3 linked regions of the Ovis aries genome follow. The protein of the gene in region 3 interacts with the protein of the main gene of each other region in a pairwise test. Links are inferred from orthologs where the notes say so. Each region holds a gene or a part of one and is shown on either strand. Other genes may lie near its edges. The genes, in order: EIF5, serine/threonine-protein phosphatase 2A regulatory subunit B'' subunit beta and DUSP12.

The links.
Region 1: the proteins of DUSP12 (region 3) and EIF5 interact in binary tests that used the Homo sapiens proteins (3 or more experiments, as listed by UniProt). The two-hybrid records come from large-scale screens. The link is inferred for Ovis aries from reciprocal best matches to the Homo sapiens genes DUSP12 and EIF5.
Region 2: the proteins of DUSP12 (region 3) and serine/threonine-protein phosphatase 2A regulatory subunit B'' subunit beta interact in binary tests that used the Homo sapiens proteins (3 or more experiments, as listed by UniProt). The two-hybrid records come from large-scale screens. The link is inferred for Ovis aries from reciprocal best matches to the Homo sapiens genes DUSP12 and PPP2R3B.

Annotation. Positions count from the first base shown.
Region 1 is NC_056071.1:65,723,775-65,731,258, reverse strand, and holds the start of EIF5 (eukaryotic translation initiation factor 5), read right to left. Parts: upstream 4,061-7,484; 5' UTR 3,991-4,060; intron 3,857-3,990; 5' UTR 3,647-3,856; intron 2,632-3,646; 5' UTR 2,424-2,631; coding exon 2,352-2,423; intron 2,238-2,351; coding exon 2,156-2,237; intron 1,662-2,155; coding exon 1,489-1,661; intron 1,224-1,488; coding exon 1,112-1,223; intron 578-1,111; exon of another isoform or gene 451-577; intron 82-450; coding exon 1-81.
Region 2 is NC_056080.1:7,319,782-7,326,553, reverse strand, and holds the end of serine/threonine-protein phosphatase 2A regulatory subunit B'' subunit beta, read right to left. Parts: intron 5,763-6,772; coding exon 5,714-5,762; intron 5,111-5,713; coding exon 5,021-5,110; intron 4,296-5,020; coding exon 4,120-4,295; intron 2,012-4,119; coding exon 1,893-2,011; intron 1,802-1,892; coding exon 1,695-1,801; intron 901-1,694; coding exon 750-900; 3' UTR 239-749; downstream 1-238. UniProt on the Homo sapiens protein: The B regulatory subunit might modulate substrate selectivity and catalytic activity, and might also direct the localization of the catalytic enzyme to a particular subcellular compartment.
Region 3 is NC_056054.1:113,138,637-113,146,194, reverse strand, and holds the start of DUSP12 (dual specificity protein phosphatase 12), read right to left. Parts: upstream 4,353-7,558; 5' UTR 4,319-4,352; coding exon 3,975-4,318; intron 3,056-3,974; coding exon 2,942-3,055; intron 2,854-2,941; coding exon 2,735-2,853; intron 1,945-2,734; coding exon 1,848-1,944; intron 1,541-1,847; coding exon 1,354-1,540; intron 1-1,353. UniProt on the Homo sapiens protein: Dual specificity phosphatase; can dephosphorylate both phosphotyrosine and phosphoserine or phosphothreonine residues. Can dephosphorylate glucokinase (in vitro).

The sequences.
Region 1 (7,484 bases), on a different chromosome or scaffold from region 3:
AAACGGAGCCATTTTCCTTGTCTTTGCCCTTTCTATTTTTCTTTTCCTTTTCTTTTTTTCCTGTGCTACTGTCACTATTCTCTACACGGATAAAAAGGAAAGTTGAGTACCATGAGTTATATTATACCTCATTGCCCACCATTAACATTTAAAACCCTGCCCTCAGAAAGCCACAGAAAATGCTACCTATAATTCTAAAAGGGTTCATAAATCAAATTCATCCACTATGTTTCATAGGTAGGCAACTGAGTCTAAGAAAGAAAAGCCAGTAAATATCAGAGGTATTAGCTGTTTTAGTAAAATTAAGAGTTGGATGCCATGTAGCAACTCAACAATGAAAAACAGACCACACAAGTACTTGAAAGTTGGCACTCATGACCCTCTCTTTCCACTCCTCATAAACTGATCAACAAGGGTATTCTCAACTATGCTTCAGCCAAAAACTAGAACTGTGTTCAAGTCTATGTAACGGCTAGTCTCACAGAAAAGAGAACACCGGAATAGGTTAGACTTTTTTGCTATAGCAAGCTCAAATTGTGTCAGACAATTTTGATTTATCTGCCACAGAGTGTTGCTTGCATGCTCTAAAGCCACTCTGGCCTACTGAGCCAAGGCCCTCATGTACAAATGAGTATTCCAGAAGCAATCCATGGGGTTGCAAAGAGTCCGACTCAACTTAGCAACTGAACAATTCCAGAAGTAGATCTTTACTATGACCCCATCACAATTTGTCCAATATTTCATACATCCTAAAACGTCTTAAAAATTGAGGATATGGTTGAGTTTAATGGTAGCCTGTACTTGACCTTTAATAGTACATACAACAGCAGGTTCATCAAACAGCTGACTTTTGAATGTTAAGCTGAAACCACACCGATCCATTTACATGGAGTTCCCCACCCCCCAATAATTACATACTACAGTACTACACTATTCACTGTTGGTTGGTTGATCCTTGTATACACAGGGCTGACCTTATTATAAGCAAACTTTCACCTGCACAGGTGTTCAAGGATTAACCTTATTCTATATAGCGGTAAAGACACTTCCACTGTTTTCAACAATCAGTTGCTTTATGTCAAGGTTTTAGAAGTTCATCACACGCACTTACCAGGTGGGTTTTTGAGAATGAATGTGCAGAGTTTATGATGTGTGTCAAGCATGCCTCGATAGCCACAGGCTTTACAAGAATTACCTATTGTTTGCTTCTTTGGATTGACATGCTGTCAAAAAAGTAAAAATATGTCACCCATTAACACATGATGAAAATTCAAAAACAGTGTGAAACTAACCATCAAAAGCCACCTAAACACCAGTTTAACATCAAAAGAATTTTTTTAAACATAAGGTCAGTATGGAAGCATCTGTAAAATTTGAGGTTTTGCAATTTACGTAAGTCTACTCTGCCTTCTTGGAAACATGATTTGGTGACATCACAGAAATAAATACACTTTTTCTCCTACTGACAAGAACCTCAAAGGCACTCACCAGATCTGTTTCAGGATTCTCACACTCAGGACAGAGAACAAATTTTTTAATGAATCCATCCAACATGTCTTGCAGCTTATTCGCCTCATGAGATCCATTGACAATGTAACGGTCATTCTTAACATCAAACTGGGTCTGTGCTCCCAGCTCACAACCAAAATATTTGGTGGGATCTATTTGGGGGGAAAAAATTTTAATTTATTACAATTAACTCATCTCTGGATGAGTGCTAAGTCACTCAAGTCATGCCCGACTTTTTTTGACCCCATGGACTGTACCCTCCAAGGGTCTTCTGTCCATGGGATTTCCTAGGCAAGAATACTACAGTGGGTTGCCATTTCCTACTCTAGGATTCTTTAGCTCCTCACTCTCATTTATAGAATTATTACTCTTTTTAATTTTTATTTTTTTAACTTGTTTCACTTTACAATACTGTATTGGTTTTGCGATACATCGACATGAATCTATCAGTTTTTAAATGGACAAGATTAAGAAAGTGTTGCCCTGGTAATTTTATATACTAACTAATGCTATCAATCAGTTTTAAATCCAAGTTTCCATTTAACTCAAAAGCTAACTCAATTCAGGCAAGATTTGCAGACCAGAGAGCATCACAATTATGTCAATAAAATGCCTTCTCAGATTCCTTTCAAGAAGCATTACTTACACGTTGGAGGCCGATTAAGCGCTTTCGCTACGTCAACCATGTTGACTATAACTGTCTTGATTCCATTTCCTTTGCCCTCAACCTAAAGGAAGTAAAAAGTTTAATTTTTGCATTGTCCACACTGGGGGAGAAGTAACCTTTAATAATCCATGAAAAAAGCTTAGAACTTGTTACTAAAATGAAGATTTAGTATTACCTTGGCAATCAGACGGGGCATCTTGTAGCGATAGAACTGGTCTGACACGCTGCGGTTGACGTTGACAGACATTTTGGCTTATTAGTGACTTTATCAATAAGATGAAGAGATCTTTGATTGCAATTTTTTGGTATCCTCTGTCTGGAGAAGAAGGGATGACATAAACGACTGCAAGAGTTCTCGGTCTCTGACATGAAAAATTTTTCGCCGCTGAGGCTGTAAGCTTCTTGCTTGTATGCTATGTTTCCCCAATACAGGTGCCAGTGGCTGCGCAACAGCTCTGGAAGAGAAAACAAACCAACCCCCACGTTTAACAACTCCTGCAACGAAATCCCTCCCTGTCCGCTCTGTATAATTACGCCTACTTCCCCTACGTTAAAAACATGAGTTTATGTACAAAGAACAGCTACTAGTCTCACGTAACACGGGACACGTGCAGCAACAAAAAGCCTTCATTTTGACGAAGATGCGACCTTTTTTTTGGTCGATGCCTGACTGAAACAGGACAAATTACGCTGCATCAGCTTTTCATCAAACCAGTCATCACGTCGACGGCTTGCTTCCGTGGGTTGGCCGTATTTTAACAGAAGGACCAACCCAGACTGTGGTACCCACAAACTTCTCAGACACATCAACATCACTTCAAGACGGCAGGCTGTGGAGTTGATCTTCGAGGTCGAAGCCTTTGGCTGCAAGCGCTTACTTCAGAACCACACTTCCGTTAACTACGCCCGCGGAGCACGATCTTGCCCGACTGGCGCGCGCGGAGGGTGGACCCCTTCCCCTTCTCTATGCAAACACCCGGCCACCTTCGCGCCGGCCCCCAGCTGTCAGGGCTGACCCGGCGGCACCCGCAAGGCGGGCGCGGCGCCGGCGGCGACATCGCCAGCTCCCACGGCAGCTCCGCCTTTGCGCCGCCCGGGGCGCCCTCCGCCGACGCAGGGCCGCCGCTCCGCCGGGGGAAGCGAAACCGGCCGAGGGGCGCCGGCCCCGCCCCGCCCCGCCGCGGCGATGACTCATAAATGCAGCAATTAGGCCTGAGTCAGCCCCGGGCGGCGGCGGGGCCGCGCGGCGCGCTCCCGGGAGGCCGCGGTGGGGGCGGAGGAGAGGCGGGTGCGGCGAGGAGGGGACGCGGAGGCCGGCCCCGCCGCCCGCCCGAACTGCGCCACACACTCACACACACGCGCGCGCGCGCTCACAAACACTCACGCGCGCGCGCGGGTCACGCGGCGCGCCGCCATCTTGTGCGGCCGCCATCTCCCCACCGGCCCGAGCCCGCCCGCTCGCCGACTCACCGTTTTCGTCAAATAAAGACATAAACCCAACGCTGCTCGCCCGGGACTGGGATGAAGTGAGGCGCGCGAACCCGAGTCCGAGGAGCGGCGGCGGAGGCGGCGGAGGCAGCGCAGCGAGCAGCGGCCGGGCCAGGCGCCGCCGAGCAGCGGGGAGGGGCTGTCCCAGCGACGTCCGGGGTCCACACCCTTCAGCGCCCGGGGCCTGGCGACCTGGCGCGGAGAGACGGCGCAGTGAGCTGCGGGCGTCGGGGCGCCTTCCCCGCCAGCCAGCGGCCCGCGGGGGTCGAGGGGGCGGGGAAGACGGGGGAGGGGGCGCGGGGCTACCGCCCCTCCACCGGACTCACCTCTGGAATGTTCTCGCTCTGACTGAACAACGCCGCCGCCGCGCTCAAGCTACCCTCGGCCCCAGCGCCCGCCCCCCGCGCCAAGCCGCACAGCCCATTGGCTGGCGGTTCGCCCGAGCTCGCTCGTCATTGGCCTGCATGCCGCGTCTGTCGCGTTTTTCCCCGCCCTTTCTGCTTCCTGAGGCTCCACTCGCCGCCTCCGCCCGCCCCCAGCCCCGCGTTCCGGCTTCCTTCTCTCGCTCTCCCTTCCCCCGCTTTTCCCAGAGGCCTTCGCGGTCTCGCGAGAGTGGGCGGGCCTCGGCGGCAGAGGTCCGCCGCTACACTGCGCTTTGTCGGTTTGGGCGCCGGGGAAGATGGCGGTTGGTCCTTCCCCTCCCCCGCTGGCTGCGTCGCGGCTCCCGAGGCCGCGTTCCCTCAGGTGTTCCCGAGACGGGTGCGGGAACTCTCGGGGCTTCCTCTCTGTCCCTTCTTTTCCGGTGACCCTCGTCCTCCAGTCTTGAGAAAGAAGTTGGTTTTCTTCCACAATTCCCTAGGCCTGGGCAGAGGGCGAAGCTTAGAGGGTCTGCGTCTTTCGTCCCACGTGCCGCCTTTTATCCTCCGAAGCTCAGGTGTGCGTGGTCGCGGCGATCGTGATTCAGCCGTCCGCCTCGCCCCTTCCCCGGCGCCCGCTCTGCAGGCCAAGCTTGACTGGTGTCTATTGTCCACATGTTTTCTAAAGAGGAAAACACGAAAGTAATTCTTAACCCCTGGACCTCCTGGAAGTGATGTTGGCGTGGGGAATGTCTCCATGTTCTCGTGCTCTACCAACACTGCTCAAAATAAGCCTCGCATCACCTTACCGTTCGTGGAATCATTGCCCCCACCTCCCTCCCAGTGTTTCCGAATTGTGACCTCCTTGCTGGGAAAGCAGAGACCAAAGTGGGTGTACTAATGAGGTTCCAGGTCCAGTGTATTCACTTGCAAATGATTACAGTTTACCAGAGCTGCTCAAATTTTAGTTTTGGTGATTACAGAAACATTCTCATTCTTTCAGATACTTTTATTTTGTGTAAAATTTCGGTTGCGACTGTAAAAATGCAGAGTCCACCTTGAAATGTGGAAACATACTTCATTATAATAGAGTAAGAGCCAAATAACCGAGCGGTTGGAGCAGTGTCCTGGGCAGCTGTGTGGTTTCCCGGATCTGGATGAAGTAGCAGTGTTGCTGAGGACAGGGTGAGTGGATAAGGGGCCGACCTTTGATTTACACCATTCAAATTTGCAAGGTTAGGATTAAAAAATGTTGATTTTTAAAATCAAAGTTCAAGATTGCTCTTGCAAGGGTTTATAAGCTTTATAAATCATTTAGAACCCGACAGGGTCAGTGGGAAGAATAAATAAAAGGGAGAGAGTAAATAAAATGGATGATCCGGAATTGAGAGAAGTGATCTGTCCCTTGCTGCAGGGGCTTTTATTACAATCACACGATGTTAAACCAAATGCATAATGCTTTATGGATACCAGGATTCCGGTCACACAAACTGGAAAGATAGATCCAGACCTGCTTCTCTGGTTCACGCTGAGGCATGACTTAGCAGTATTGAAACTTTGAGTTTTGCATGACTGCACACAAATGACATTATTTTAGAAACTAGTTTATGAGCATGAAACTAGTCTGAGGCTAGAGGCCTGCTTCCTCAAAAAGTTTTCTAATAACTAAATACAAAGTGATAACTTTTTGGATCATGTTTGATGGCCCTGCATTTAATTTCATTGAAGTTAGTACTAATTTTAATTTTTAGTACATGTGTTATTCATTGTATCTAATCATGGACAATTTTTAAAAATCTCAAACATACCATTTGTTGAATGTTTTTCATAACCTAGAATTTTCTAAGTCCTTTGAATACACTATTTCACTTACTTCTTTGCCTCTGAGGAATCTTTATTCCCATTTTACAAATGAGCAAACTGAAGCTTACTGGAAAAAAGCAGCTTGCCCTAGATATATTACTAAGTGGTAGAGCTAGAATCAGATCTCTCTGCTCCCAGGGTCTGTTCTCTTAACCATCATACCACACAGCCTTTCCAGATGAATATAACCATAGAGAAATGTAGGATGTGTAACCCTAGTTATGCATGTGTAACCTCATTTAATTCCATAACATTCACATGAGGAAGTGTTGTTATGCCCATTTTACAGATGAGCAAAGAGACTCAGGAAGATTAAGTTTCCTCAAGTCACCTGTCTAGTAAATAGTGCAGTGTTTGAACTCCAGCTTGACGCCAAGCTCATTGCACAATTCCATCTCCCGCTTCTGGGTCTCCGCCTCATTTGGCTGCATTCTTTCCCCCAACCAGGTACTCACAGTTTACTAAATAAGGGTACTTGGTGCTATGAAATCCCTGTCGAATGTGTGCCTGAACTATGCATTTCAGGTAATGTCCTGGGCAAACATGATTAGCTACTGAAAAGGTAAATTATTAACTTGGCCTTATGATTGTTTAGTAATTGGTGTCTGTGAATCTGTTTGGCATGACTTAAGCAAGACCAAGTCTGTGTGCCCTGGGAACCTTGTGCTTCTGAGCTGAGGGCCACTGAAGGGATCAAGGCATTGCCCTCTGTGATGGGCCTCCCTCTAAGACATGCCTCTCTCAGCTGTCTCTACCTTCTAGCATACTCTTAAAGCTGTGCATTCGTAGTGACTTAAGCTCCTGCCTTCCCTCCTTGAGGATGGGCTACAGGGTTATGCATTATTCTTTTTCTAGCTCAAGTCTAAATGTATGCAGGCAGACATTCGAAGCTGCTGGAGGAAACAAGGTTATCTGGGGAGTACAGAGGTAGTGCGGGGCGTTGGCTGTGTTGAGGGCTAGCGTCCTAAGCCATGTTAATCTAATGCACCCATGTCAGCAAACATTCCTGGGTTACTAGGCAGAGAGGATGAAGGCCCTGCCTACATCTCAGGCCCTGCCAAGGGAGACCACATGTCAACAAGTTGGGGTTAATACCTTCCTGGTGGGTACCCAAGTGAAGCTTACCCCGCTCCGTGGATTCACCGACCTTCTGGGCAAGGATGTCTCCCTGCCTTTGTGACTGGCCCCACTCCCACCCCAAACCTCTGGCATTCACGGCACTTTATTCCGGTTGCCTGTTCACTTGTCCCTCTTCTTCCTTAGGGTAAGTAACTTGTGGACAGGACGGTTCTCCTTGAGAAACACGGAATCTGGACTTTGGCTGAGGACTAGGGACCTTCAGTTGGGGAAGAGGACAGGTGCGTTTGAGGGGAAGAGGAGGTATCCAGGCCAGCTGTCACTGGAGACTGATAGTCTGACCAGAGTCTATCCTGTGTCACTTCTGGGAAGAAAAGGAAAAGTGCAAAGTGGCATCGAGTCAGTAGATGACGGGGAAATATGGGCGACTTGGAAGGCAGGCCCTGCCCTTGGATTGGTTGTCCCAGTCACACACAACATCTCCGGATGGGACAGTGACCACATTGGTGGCTTCTGGTCACCTC
Region 2 (6,772 bases), on a different chromosome or scaffold from region 3:
GACCGCAGGGGAGCCGGCCGCCCCGGGGCCATGCAGGGACCGCCGTGGCCAGAGTGCAGGCTGCACGGCCCTGGGGCCCCGGCCTGTGACCCGTGCCCGGCGGCTCCATGTCCGGGGGGCCCTGCACACCCCACAGTCTCCCTGCGGGGACCCCCACATCCGTGCCATGTCCATCTGTGACCTGCGTTCAGAATCCCCTGCTGCCGTGTCTTGTCTTGTCTCAAGGTTAGCCTCAGGCTGAAAATCCTTAAATTCTTTATTTCAAAATACAAACGTGATCTCATAAAACTCTACACCGCTCTGCACAGCAAATAGAAGGGAACTTTACACATCTTGTACACGTACACAGAAATGCTGGGCCGCACTGACCTGGGTGCTCCCTCGGCCCTGCCCGGGGCGGCATCCCTGCAGGGGCCCTGTGGGACAGCGGGCGCTGTGGCTTCTGGAATGTTCCTGCCGACACAGCCGGCCCAAGGTCAGCGCGGGGACAGTCCGGGCAGACCCACCACAGCACCGCCGGATTCCCACCGGGGTGAACCGTCCGCTGACGGGGGCCTCCAAGCGCCTGGACAGGGCAGCGGGCCTAGGCCGCCTGCCTGCTGGAGAGGCACCGCGGGGCCGTCTGCAGCCGCTTCTGTGCCAAATAAAGATGCACGCACCACAGAGAGACGAACTGCGCTGGGTGAGGCCGACGGCTGCTCGGCCGCGTTCCCCACCCACGGGCCACGGGGGCCCCGAGGAGCCGCGGGTCACGAGGGCGGCAGGTCGTCGCCCCCACACTCGTACTCGTACAGCTCGACGGTGCCCAGGCCACCCGGCGCCTCCAGGAAGGGCCTCTGGGCCAGCGGGGACCGCAGGGCGCTCAGCTTCTGCTCCACGGGGCTGAGCTCGGCCTCGTATCTGCAGGGAGGGGCCCGTGAGGACAGCGCCCGCCCTCCGCGCCCACCGTGTGCACCCAACACCCTGACACCTGGGGGCAGGACAGCGGGCCCACTGAGCATCTGTGTGCACACATCACCCTGACACCCGGGGGCAGGACAGCAGGCCCGCTGAGCAGCTGTGTGCACCCAACACCCTGACACCCGGGGGCAGGACAGCGGGCCCGCTGAGCAGCTGTGCCCCCCCAACACCCTGACACCCGGGGGCAGGACAGCAGGCCCGCTGAGCATCTGTGTGCACCCAACACCCTGACACCCGGGGGCAGGACAGCAGGCCCGCTGAGCATCTGTGTGCACCCAACACCCTGACACCCGGGGGCAGGACAGCGGGCCCACTGGACAGCTGTGTGCTCAGCAGCTTAGCCGCCCAGCTGGCTCCCCACCCTGTCCCCCTCTGTGGGATCTGCACCCCTTGGGGGCCTGCGGGTGCCACCCCCAGAGGATAGATGCGGCCCTGACAGGTGCCTCACAGGGGCCCTGGTGGGACCCTCCGTGGGCTGGGGGAGGGCCTGACTCAGCAGGAAGAGCTCCCAGACTCAGGGCGCTAAGGCCGGGCACCTGGGGCAGAACCAGGCACAGTTCGGAGTCAGAGTGTCCCCACCCTCGGCGGCAGGGCCACAGTCCCTTGGAAACCCTCCCCCAGAAGCGGCAGCCAGGGGTGGTGTCCTCCCTGCCCCAGCTGGCAGCCCTTTCCCTGCCCCCGTTCCCGGCCACCCCTCCTCCCGGGACCCAGTTCTCCGCCCCCCGTGCGCTCACCCGTCCTCCCAGGGGTCCCCCGCAGCCTCCTCGGCCACCAGGATGTCGTACTCCTCAGCAGCGAAGCGCTCCCAGTCGGACAGCTCGGGCCCCTCGCTCTCACTCTCCTGCAGAGCACGGTAGGGTGTCACCCAGGAGCGGCCCGGCGCCCCCTCCCCCGCACGTCCCCCGCAGGCCTCCCCCGTCACCTTCCCTCACCCTGAGCAGGGACGCCTGCTCTTTCTGCTCGTGGTCCAGATACTTCTCGATGTTAAAGAAGGTGTCAAAGAACACGTTGGCCAGCTTGCAGCGCTTCAGGTCTTGCAGCGTGATCCTCCCTGCGGGAGGGGCCCGGGTGTGAGCGCGTGGGTAGGGGTGCACGGAGGGGACTTCAGGGGACAGCTAGGAGCGTGGGTGGGTGGGGTGGGGGGCGCAGGGCGTGAGCGCTCAGGGCAGCCGCGGGGGAGGCGAAGAGGAGTCTCACGGGCCCCTGGGGCAGCTCATTGGCGTGTGGAGTGGGGCTCCTGGACGCAGGGCAGCTCATGGGCACATGGGCATGTCATGAGCACACTCACGTGTGCAAAGCCACACGCCTTACGGCACAGCACTGTGCACTCTGCCGCCAGCCCGGCCACAGGAGTGCTGCCGGTGTGGAGAAAGCCTGGCGGGTGCCTGGGGGACCAGAGCCCTGTGTGTCCCTGGAGGTTCGTCAGGGGATATAGGGGTCCGCACGCCTAACCCAGAGGGTGGGACCCGAGCTGCCCTAGACCACGGACACGGAGCCGGACGAAGCCTGGGCCGGGCAAGAGGGCCCAGGCACGAGGCCCCAGGACGAGTCCACAGGGCAACACCCGAGACTGGGCTCCCAGGACACAGGACACCCAGGTGTTCCACTTGGAGGCAGAGACTTCCTGTGACCTTGGCAGGCATCCCGGGCGCCCTGGGATGTACCCACCGAGCACCCTGGCTCCCAGATCAACCAACGCAATCCCCGGGCCACGGCACCGGGCCTGAGAAGGGCAGCCCTGTGCAGGGGGCCCCCGCACCGCCCACACTGGGGTCCCGGTGGAGTATGACAGAGCACGGCAGAGGAACATGGCCGAGGGACACGGCAACCGTCCCCAGCCCCGGGGCACACTCAGTCCCCACGTCAGTTCACCACACGCGCGCGGTGAGGGCGGGGCTGTGAAGGTCGAGTCCAGACTCAGCGGTCACACTCGAGGGCTGAGGGCGGGGCCACAAGGATGGCGTCCACCCCAGGGGTCACTCGCAAGGGCTGAGGGCGGGGCTGAAAGCGTCATGTCCACCCCAGGGGTCACTCGCGGGGGCTGAGGGCGGGGCTGAAAGCGTCATGTCCACCCCAGGGGTCACTCGCGAGGGCTGAGGGCGGGCTGCGCATGTCCACCGGGGACGTGCTGACGGTGCGCCATGTCACCCCGGGGTCACACTGAGGGCCTGAAAGCCCTGACCCCGGGGTCACACCTGAGGGCTGACATGTCCACCCCAGGGTCACTCCTGAGGGCTGGGGCGGGGCTGCCATGTCCACCCCGGGGTCACACGGGGCTGAGGCGGCTGAAAGCCCATGTCCACCGGGGTCACCCTGAGGGGCTGAAAGGCCATGTCCCCCAGGGGTCACACGTGGGGGCTGAGGGCTGAAAGGCATGTCCACCCCGGGGTCACTCGCGAGGCTGAGGGCTGAGCCCATGTCCACCCCGGGGCTGAGCGCCATGTCCACCGCAGGGGTCACTCCAGGGCTGAGGGCTGGCCATGTCCACCCTCCTCCCTGAGGCGGGGCCCCATGTCCACCCCAGGGCACACCTGAGGCGGGGCTGGGTGTCCACCCCATCCCCTGAGGGCCCCACCCGGGGGTCACTCCCTGAGGGGCTGAAAGCCATGTCCACCCCGGGGTCACCCACTGAGGGGGCTGGCGTCATGTCCACCCCAGGTCACACTGAGGGCCTGAAAGCGTGTCCACCCCAGGGGTCCACCTGAGGGCGGCCCCCCCCCCCCGCGGGGCCCCATGTCCACCCCGGGGCCCCGGCTGCAGCGCCATTCCACACCAGGGGTCACACGGGGCTGAGGGCCAGCGTCATGTCCACAGGGCACTCGCTCTGAAGGGCGGGGCCACGAGGCTGGACCACGTGCACGGTGCTCAGTCACTGCTCCTGGAGAAGTACTCCGAGCTCAAACCTGGACAGCGCCCCCATCCCCACCCCCAGTGTCCTCTCCCAGAGCACCCCACCACATCCAGGCTGCTGGGGTCCCCCACAGGTGCCCCCACGTCCCTGGGGAACCCCTCCAGGCTGAGCCCCATCCCCCCCGGAGCTCCCCACTCCAGGGGCAACCCTATTCCCCAGGGCATCCCCACACCCTGGGTGTCCCCCTCCCCCTTGGGGCCCCACTTCCCAGGGGCGCCCCCTCCCCAGGGCCCGGCCCCGCACAGCACCTTCAGTCTGGGGCTTCACCAGGTCCAGCATTTGGCACAGGCAGTCCTCGAAGGGCAGGGCCTCGATGGCCATGCTGTCCAGCCGCCGGCACTGCTCCTCGTAGAAGTACTCCAGCTCAAACATGGACAGCGCCCCATCCCCGTCCAGGTCCATGCAGCGGAACCAGTACTCAATGCTGCGGCCGGGAGGGCCAGACGTCCACTGGGACGGCCGTCCACCCAGACCCACTCCGACCAGGGTGACCCCACCTCTATAACCAGTGCTCAATGCTGCGGCCGGGAGGGTCACACGTCCACCCAGACCCGCTCCAACCAGGGTGACCCCACCCCCGGGCCCAGTCCTCGATGCTGAGGCCAGGAGGGTCACACGTCCACTGGGACGGCCGTCCACCCAGACCTGCTCTGACCAGGGTGACCCCACCTCTATAACCAGTGCTCAATGCTGGAGGGTCACATCCACCCCCACCACCAGAGTGACGAGATGCTGCGGCCGGGAGGGTCACACGTCCACCAGGACATCGTCCACCCAGACCCGCTCCCACCAGGGTGACCCCACCCCTGGGACCAGTACTCGATCCTGCGGCCGGGAGGGTCACACGTCCACCAGGACGTCGTCCACCCAGACCCGCTCCCACCAGGGTGACCCCACCCCTGGGACCAGTCTTCAAGGCTGTGGCCGGGAGGGTCACACGTCCACCAGGACAGCCGTCCACCCAGACCCACTCCCACCAGGATTAGGGAGGGACAGACCCCACCCCCGGGACCACCCCCTCATATGAGCCCCTCCGAGACGCCCTCACAGGGATGGGCCGCAGGGGGGCGCCCTCACCAGTGGGTAACCACTGGGCTCCTCTTGCGAGGGTCCCAACAGCCTGGACAGAGCGCAGGCCCCGACACCCACCTGGTGGGGGTCTTCTTGTCCTCCTCGGAGATCAGAAACCAGACAAAGTCCGCGTAGCTGATTTTCCCTTCCTTCTGCACCTTTTTCCCTCTGGATTCAAGAGACGACGGCAGCGTCAGGGAGGAGCAGCCTGAGGCCCAAGTCCCTGCCCACGTGCAGGGGTGACCGGAGCCCTGCAGGGACCCGGTCCCAGACTGGACCCCACCCGGAGGCGCCTGAGAGTATGTGCGGGCGCAGAAGGCCTCTCAGAGCCCAAGGGGGCGGGGCGCGGGGGTGGGGGCAGAAGGACATGCCCAGCTCAGGGCCCCTCACAGCCTGCATGCCCAGGCCCTGTGTCCCCCTCACGCACGGTGTCACATGGCAAGAGCGTGCTTTGTGTGCCCGTAACTTATGACATCACACGTGTAATGATCACGTGTCCTTTACACACGCCCGCACATGACAAAGGCATGTGCGTCCTTTACATACGACCTTACACGAGCGGCACACGTGTCTCTCTTATTCATGACTTCCTGTGACAATGGCGTGTGTCCCCATTACCTGTGACCTCACATGGCAAAACCCTATACACGAGCTCCTAAGGCACGACCTCAGGTGCCTCAGAACACGGCCACCCTGGTCAGGAGTGACAGGCAGGGCTGGATGCGCCCGGGAAAGCCAGCCCAGCCCTGCTGGGAGCCCGCTGGCACGCACCGCGTCACGGCTCCGGAGAAGATCCGGTCAATCATCTTGGTGGAAATAGCTGCAAGAGAGGGGTCAGGCCGTGAGTTCCACACGGGGGTCCTGGTGCCCCACGCGGCGGCTGTGGACGCGGCCAGGCAGGCTCCAGGCTGAACCTGGAGACCCAGGTCTGGCTGCGCGGGACCCTGGGGGCCTGGGTTTCCTGCACACGCCTCCTTGGACACTGCCCACCGCCTCCCAGTCCTGGCTGTGTGTGTCGGTGTGTGTGCATGTGCGTGCTGCTAGGGCTGCGAGGAGACCCAGCCAGTCCATCCTCAAGGAAATCAACCCAGAATAGTCACTGGAGGGACTGATGCTGAAGCTAAAACTCCAATACCGTGGCCACCTGACGCGAAGAGCTGACTCACTGGAAAAGACCCTGATGCTGGGAAAGATTGAGGGCAGGAGGAGACGGGGACGACAGAGGATGAGATGGCTGGACGGCATCACCAACTCGATGGACATGGGTTTGGATAAACTCCAGGAGATGGTGATGGACAGGGAGGCCTGGCGTGCTGCGGTCCACAGGGTCGCAAAGAGTGGAACATGACCAAGCGGGTGAACAGAGATGTGTCCCAAGTTGCTTCCGGCGTGTCCGACTCTTTGCGACCCCGTGGACTGTAGCCCACCAGGCTTCTCTGTCCGTGAAACTCTCCAGGCGAGAGTACTGCAGTGAGTCGCCACTTCCTTCTCCAGGGGATGTCCCAAACCCAGGAACTGAGCCCGAGTCTCCTGCACCTCCTGCACCGGCAGACAGGTTCTTAGACCAGCCGGGCCGCCAGGGAAACCCACCCAGGCCCGGGGCCTGAGCCTCAGTCCAAGCTGCAGAGGCAGGCACTGGCCCCGGAGCTCCAGGAATGAAGGGAGTGTGGACGGCAGGACGCACGTTCACTCATGCATGGGCTCTGCCTCCAAACACAACGCGCTTGTGATCAGAACCCAGATGCGTGCCAACCATGTTCAAGGAAGACACAGCAGAAGGCCCGGGCTGTCAGACGATCACCACACACAGGGTGGCTTCAACAGCACGTG
Region 3 (7,558 bases):
CCATACGCCAAACGTATGCGGAAATGAGTAAATGCATTCAACGCTAGTGAAAGGCAAATTTGTGTGGGCACTGTTAAGGTCAGCCCAGAATATTAGTAATATTTAAAAATGTACACTCTTCAAGCCAGGAATTCCACTTTTAGGTATATATTCTATACGAAAATAAATTTACAAATAAGTATGCACATATGTGACCTAGAATATTTCACAAAAAAATAAAATAAATGCCTTTATCTTGGGTGCTTCCCAGATTAAATAAAAGCAGCAAGGGAATTCTCTGGGCATCCAATGGTTAAGACTCCACGCTTTCACTGCTGAGGGCCAGGGTTCAATCCCTGGTCAGCAAACCAGGATCCCACAAACCACAAGAGGCAACCAAGATAAATAAAAACAGCAGGGCAAAAACATAAGCCACAAAAGAAAAAACAGATAAAGTGGACTTCAACAGATAGTATCAAGAGTAGGAACTGACTTCTGTACAAGGTTTATTTGGTAGCGATAAAAATGGTGACAGATTCTAAAACCTGTGAACATACTAAAAACCACTGAACTGTACACTTTCCATGGGTGAATTATATGGCAAGTGAATTATATCTCAATAAACCAGCAGCATCTGAAAACATGGGTTTGAATATAGGGTACCCCCTTCTAGGCAAGACATTAACTAATGTAGATTAAGTTTCCTCCTATATAAAATGTGAATATATATATCTGTTCCGTTTTATAAAATTATTGTATTCTTCAAATGAAATAGTGAGAGTTTCCTAAAAACTCACTATACAAACTTAGATAATCTTTAAACATCATTACATCTTAGATTAGGAATATCTTTACATTAATATCAAGTAAACCTAAAAGAGTTGTAGCTGTCACAGGATGCTCATATGAGCTGCATTCTTTAGAATTAGTAAGAAATGAAAAAGAATCTCGTAACAAACGTATAAAACTAAAAGAATCAAGAAAACAGAGATACAAAGAGCCAAAGGAGAAAAAAGGAAGATTAAGAAGAAATTTTAAATCTAATTTTAAAATCCATGATTTTCTCTACTTCTTACAAAGCTCAAGTTTTGCTAAATATTTTCTAATTTGTCTTAATTTAAAAAAATATAAACAATAGACTTAAAAGGAATTAACTGAGACCAAAAGCTCTCAACCAAAAAATGGATCATTATTTTAGATCACTTGGTTTTTATTTATCTTTGATAGAATCTTGCCTATACTACAAAGATATAATCTTTAGAAAGAAAGCAGTTAAGATGGAGTAAAACACTAGTTAAAGTATGGTTTAAAATGAAAGAAGGAACAAAACACAGATGACATAATAAAACTAAAGAAAGTAAAATGTGTTCTCACCTGTCCATCCATCACTCCCAACAAAGTGGATTCCATCCACTGTACAGGTTCAATGAAGTAAGATGTACACTGAGCCTGACTCCCGGTGGAAAGCACGGGGGATGCTGTCATCCTCTTGTGGGCAAAGGCTGTAGGACCACTTCCTTCATTATGATCCAAAATGCTAGAACTTCTAAATAAAGATCGCCTGCAACTCCCAAACAAACAAAAACATTAATGATTTCCAAAAGGATGGAAAAATAGATTAAAAGTGCACTACTTCTTAGACAGCAAGTTAATGTAACAATGATTATACTGTTTTAATTTTTGATAATCTCTACAAGTAACCAGGTAACTTTTAAGCATTCATATTCTTCTTGAAACCAGATCTGAATATGAAATTTCTGTATTATTCCATTAAACAAATTCTTCCTACAAGATTTTAAGAAACTGAAACTTTCAGTACTTTTCTACTGAGACAAAGTAAAATCTCCAGAGGATACAAAATATTTTACCTGCACTTTCTACATTTGTAGAGACCCCCATCTTTCAATCCTTGTGAAATGGCAGATGGGTCAACAGCAAAGAGTTCTTGAGGTAAGTTCTGCAATTCTACGTAACATAAAATGTATCCATTTGTCAAAATCAACTCTGCATTTTCAGACAAAATTCAGTTTGTGTCAAATTGAGGCAAGTTGCTCAGTGGTAAAGAATCCACATGCCAATACAGAAGACGCAGGTTCGATCCATAGGTTGGGAAGATCCCCGGAAGAAGGAAATGGCAACCCACTCCAGTATCCTTGCCTGGGAAATCCCATGGACAGAGGAGCCAGTCCATGGGGTCACAAGAGAATCAGACACAACTTAGCAACTAAACAACAAAATGCTAATCTCAGAAATTAAAAAAAGTCTCCCCTGTTGAGCAATGAGGACGAGGTGGGAGAGCACAGCAATGCAGCCCTTGGCTTCCAGGCACAGACTGCCTGACTTCAAATTAGAGCCAGCCATTTACAAACCACGTGACCCTGAACAACCTATTTCTTGCTAAACCGTGGTTTCAAAATGAAATAAAAGTACCTGCTTCAAAAGTGAAATAATGCACCTGAAGCATCTAGCGTCAGAGTAAACTACATCTAGAAAAGACTGAATGTGCTGTGCTTAGTTGCTCAGTTGTGTCTGACTCTTGGCAACCCCATGGACTATACAGCCCACCAGGCTCCTCAGTCCATGGGATTTCCAAAAGCAAGAATACTGGAGTAGGTTGTGATGACCTCCTCCAGGGGATCTTCCCAACCCAGGGATGGAATCCAGGTCTACCACATTGCGGGCGGATCCTTTACCCAGGCTGAGCCACCAGGGACACCCACAAAGGACTGAATACATACTGCCAATTATTACTTACCTGGATACTTCTCTGTAACCTTTTGTAAACGATATTGTTTATAAACTGCACTGGAGGTATCTACTTCACAGCCCATTGCCTGGTATAATTTCAGTTGCCACTCAAACCCCTCATTCATCCTGTAAGGGCAAACAGATACAGAGTTAAATTTTCTTTAAATAAAACTGCATCACAAAAGCAGAATTATTACTGTAACAAGTAACTCACTTGGCCTCTGGCTTGACAGACTTAAGGTTTTCATAGGCTTTTTCAAAGGTAAGCTGGTCAGTCTTCATTATAAAAGCGGTTATGACAGTCACACTTCGACTGACCCCTGCATGACTGAAAAAGAAACCTTTAAAATATCAAACAGCAACAATTACAAAAACAAAAAAACCCACCCCCTATAAATGGTAAAGTTTGGGGTCCACTTCTCGTCTGCTTCTTCTAGTCAAGTAAATCCTTTGCCTCTGAAATACTACTGCTGTACAAAAGAAGTATTCCTTTATTTCCTTATTCATTTTTAATTCTGTACCATGTGAATGCATTACCTACTGAAAAATAATTACACTAATTTTTTAACATCTTATAATGGCTTCAGAACAAATCTAAACTCTTTTGCTCTTGGTTTTAAAGGCCCTGGAGATCTGGTCCCAAACTTCTATTTTATCACTACCTTATGTTCTTTATGTAATATTTATAACAAAGGCTGGCTATAAAATTGCTGACTCAGTAAGCGTAAACTTGTAATTACACTCTTTCTGCCACTGCTACGTACTAATCAAATTTTCTCTCCCCAAATCTCCCCTACATCGGCCACGCCTGCCTCAAACAAAAACAATGAAAACAGCCTGTTCTCCCTCTGAAGTTTGAATAACCTTAACCTCTATTACAATAATCTCTCTTACTACACACCTCGCATCCTAGTCTGCATTTCCTCAGTATGTGTCTGGCTACTCGAGAAGAGATTTAAACTCTTTAGATGTAGAGACTTAGTCATTTATCTGAAGATTCCTCCTACCCTCGAAAACTCAGCGGCTGCAGAATGAACCAACACAAACAAAATGAATGAAAAGCCTGCGCGTCGTCAAGGGACCGTGTCCTGCCCACTCCTCTCTCTGACACAAGCCTACGCAAGAGGGTGGAGGTCCTAGCGGCCCGACAGCCCTGTGGTCCTCTTCTGGGCCCTGGGAGGGAAAGGGTGAGGTGGGCCAGGGTAGAAGCGTGGCGGGTCGCTCTCCCCACGGACCCGACCACTCACCAGTGCACCAGCACCGCGCGGCCCTCGGCGCGAGCCTGGACGATGAAGGCCACACAGCGGTCCAGATGACTGAGCAGGTCGGTCTCGGGTCTGTCCAGCGCTGGCACGAAGAGACTCCGTAGACCCTCGACCCCAGCCCCCGTTTTGAAGTTAGGCTCCTCCGAGTCCACCGTCAGCACTGCCGTGACGCCCGCCTCCCTCAGGTGGTCTGGCTCCGCGACGGCCGCGGCTCCACCCAAGAACAGCCCCGGACGCACTTCCAGCATGTTCCTGGCAGAACCGGCCCGGCTCTGGCCGCTGATCTGGTGCTCGCAGCCATGGCTCCCGTCCTGCGCCTCCAACATGGCGGCGCCCGGAGGCCGGGCTGCGGCGGGCCCTACCACCGAGTAGGCAATCGGCTAGAACGTCCTTATTGTCGGACCAGCCGGTCTGAGTTGCGCCGCTCCTGCCTCGGAGGATTTCGTCGACCGCAGGAACGCGGATTTACTGGGGAAGGTGACGGGGCTTCGGCCTGGGCGGAGCTAAACCCCATTCCACCGGCTTCCTATCGCTGACGCAAGCACCTACAGGGTTTGTCAGGCTCTTAGTGTTGAGATTTTACTACATTTCTGCGGAAGCAGAAAATTGATTCAAGTTGAAATGATGGTGCCACCAACTGAATCAGTACCATAGTCTTATACATTTGAAATACAACACTTTTACAGTACGTATGAAACCATTTGTTTGTAGTTCTCTAGTGACTTTTTACTTTTTTTTCTTTTTGCACCCCCCCTTTTTTTTTATTGGTATGTGACTTCTTGTTGGTGTATATTATTCTGTATATTTGAAAATATTGATCCCATGGTTTTGTGCCAGTGCACTCAAAGACCACCAAGAATCCAAGTGTAGTTTTAAATAAATTGAGTTTATTACTCAATCATGAACTGTATAATTTTGGGAAATGCAGGTCTTAAGACAATGTTTACTTCAGTCGCTCAGCCATGTCCAGCTCTTTGCGACCCCATGAATTGCAGCACGCCAGGCCTCCCTGTCTATCACCAACTCCTGGAGTTCACTCAAACTCATGTCCATTGAGTCGTTGATGCCATCCAGCCATCTCATCCTCTGTCGTCCCCTTCTCCTACCCGCAATCCCTCCCAGCATCAGAGTCTTTTCCAATGAGTCAACTCTTCGCGTGAGGTGGCCAAAATACTGGCGTTTCAGCTTTAGCATCAATCCTTCCAATGAACACCCAGGACTGATCTCCTTTAGAATGGACTGGTTGGATCTCCTTGCAGTCCAAGGGACTCTCAAGAGTCTTCTCCAACACCACAGTTCAAAAGCATCAATTCTTCAGCACTCAGCTTTCTACACAGTCCAACTCTCACATCCATACATGACCAGTGGAAAAACTATAGCCTTGACTAGACGGACCTTTGTTGACAAAGTAATGTCTCTGCTTTTGAATATACTATCTGGGTTGGTCATAACTTTTCTTCCAAGCAGTAAGCGTCTTTTAATTTCATGGCTGCAATCACCATCTGCAGTGATTTTGGAGCCCAAAAAAATGAAGTCTGACACTGTTTCCACTGTTTCCCCATCTATTTCCCATGAAGTAATGGGACCAGATGCCGTGATCTTCGTTTTCTGAATGTTGAGCTTTAAGCCAACTTTTTTCACTCTCCTCTTTCACTTTCATCAAGAGGCTTTTTAGGTCCTCTTCACTTTCTGCCATAAGGGTGGTGTCATCTGCATATCTGAGGTTATTGATATTTCTCCCAGAGATATTGATTCCAGCTTGTGATTCTTCCAGCCCAGCGTTTCTCATGATGTACTCTGAATATAAGTTAAATAAGCAGGGTGACAATATACAGCCTTGACGTACTCCTTTTCCTATTTGGAACCAGTCTGTTGTTCCGTGTCCAGTTCTAACTGTTGCTTCCTGACCTCCATACAGGTTTCTCAAGAGGTCAGGTGGTTCCCATCTCTTTCAGAATTTTCCACAGTTTATTGTGATCCACATAGTTAAAGACTTTGGCATAGTCAATAAAGCAGAAATAGATGTTTTTCTGGAACTCTCTTGCTTTTTCCATGATCAGCGGATGTTGGCAGTTTGATCTCTGGTTCCTCTGCCTTTTCTAAAACCAGCTTGAACATCTGGAAGTTCACGGTTCACATATTGCTGAAGCCTGGCTTGGAGAATTTTGAGCATTACTTTACTAGCGTGTGAGATGAGTGCAATTGTGCGGTAGTTTGGGCATTCTTTGTCATTGCTTTTCTTTGGGATTGGAATGAAAACTGACCTTCTCCAGTCCTGTGGTCCCTGCTGAGTTTTCCAAATTTGCTGGCATATTGAGTGCAGCATTTTCACAGCATCATCTTTCAGGATTTGAAATAGTTCAACTGGAATTCCATCACTTCCACTAGCTTTGTTCATAGTGATGCTTTCAGAGGCCCACTTGACTTCACATTCCAGGATGTCTGGCTTTAGGTGAGTGATCTCACCATTGTGATTATCTTGGTCGTGAAGATCTTTTTTGTACAGTTCTTCTGTGTATTCTTGCCACCTCTTCTTAGTATCTTCTGCTTCTGTTACGTCCATACCATTTCTGTCCTTTATTGAGCCCATCTTTGCATGAAATATTTCCTTGATATCTCTAATTTTCTTGAAGAGATCTCTAGTCTTTCCCATTCTGTTGTTTTTCCCCTATTTCTTTGCCTTGATTGCTGAGGAAGGCTTTCTTATCTCTCCTTGCTATTCTTTGGAACTCTGCATTCAGATGCTTATATCTTTCCTTTTCTCCTTTGCTTTTCGCTTCTCTTCTTTTCACAGCTATTTGTAAGGTCTCCCCAGACAGCCATTTTGCTTTTTTGCATTTCTTTTCCATGGAGATGGTCTTGATCCCTATCTCCTGTACAATGTCACGAACCTCCGTCCATAGTTCATCAGGCACTCTATCTATCAGATCTAGTCCCATAAATCTATTTCTCACTTCCACTGTATAATCATAAGGGATTTGATAATCATAAAAGAATCATAAGAGAATGTTAGGAAGATCCTATTACAGGATTTTGGGCTTCCCAAGGGGCACCAGTGGTAAAGAACCCGCCTGCCAATGCACCGAGACTTAAAAGACCTGGGTTCAATCTCTTGGGTCCAGAAGATCCTCTGGAGGAGGGCATGGCAACCCACTCCAGTATTCTTGCCTGGAGAATCCCATAGACAGAGGAGCCTGGCGGGCTACAGTCCATAGGGTCGCAAAGAGTTAGACACAACTAAAGCGACTTAGCATGCATACAGGATCTGAGCTTACATTAGATGAGTTAGGGCTAAGGGGCTATGGAAGCAAGACTTTGCTCTGGATTGGATGCTGTCAGGAAGTGGAGGTGATTCTATGATTCAGTATGTTAATAAATCTTACCAAAGGGAAAGAAGGCTAGAGAGACACTAAAGCTGTTATTGGTCAAGAAATAGCAGTCATGGTACTTGCATAATGATGGAAACATGGGGCAATGCAGCAGAATAGAGAGCCCAGAAATAAACCCTTACATATATGCGCAAATGATCTTTGGCAAGGGTACCATGACCAAACAATGGTTTTGTC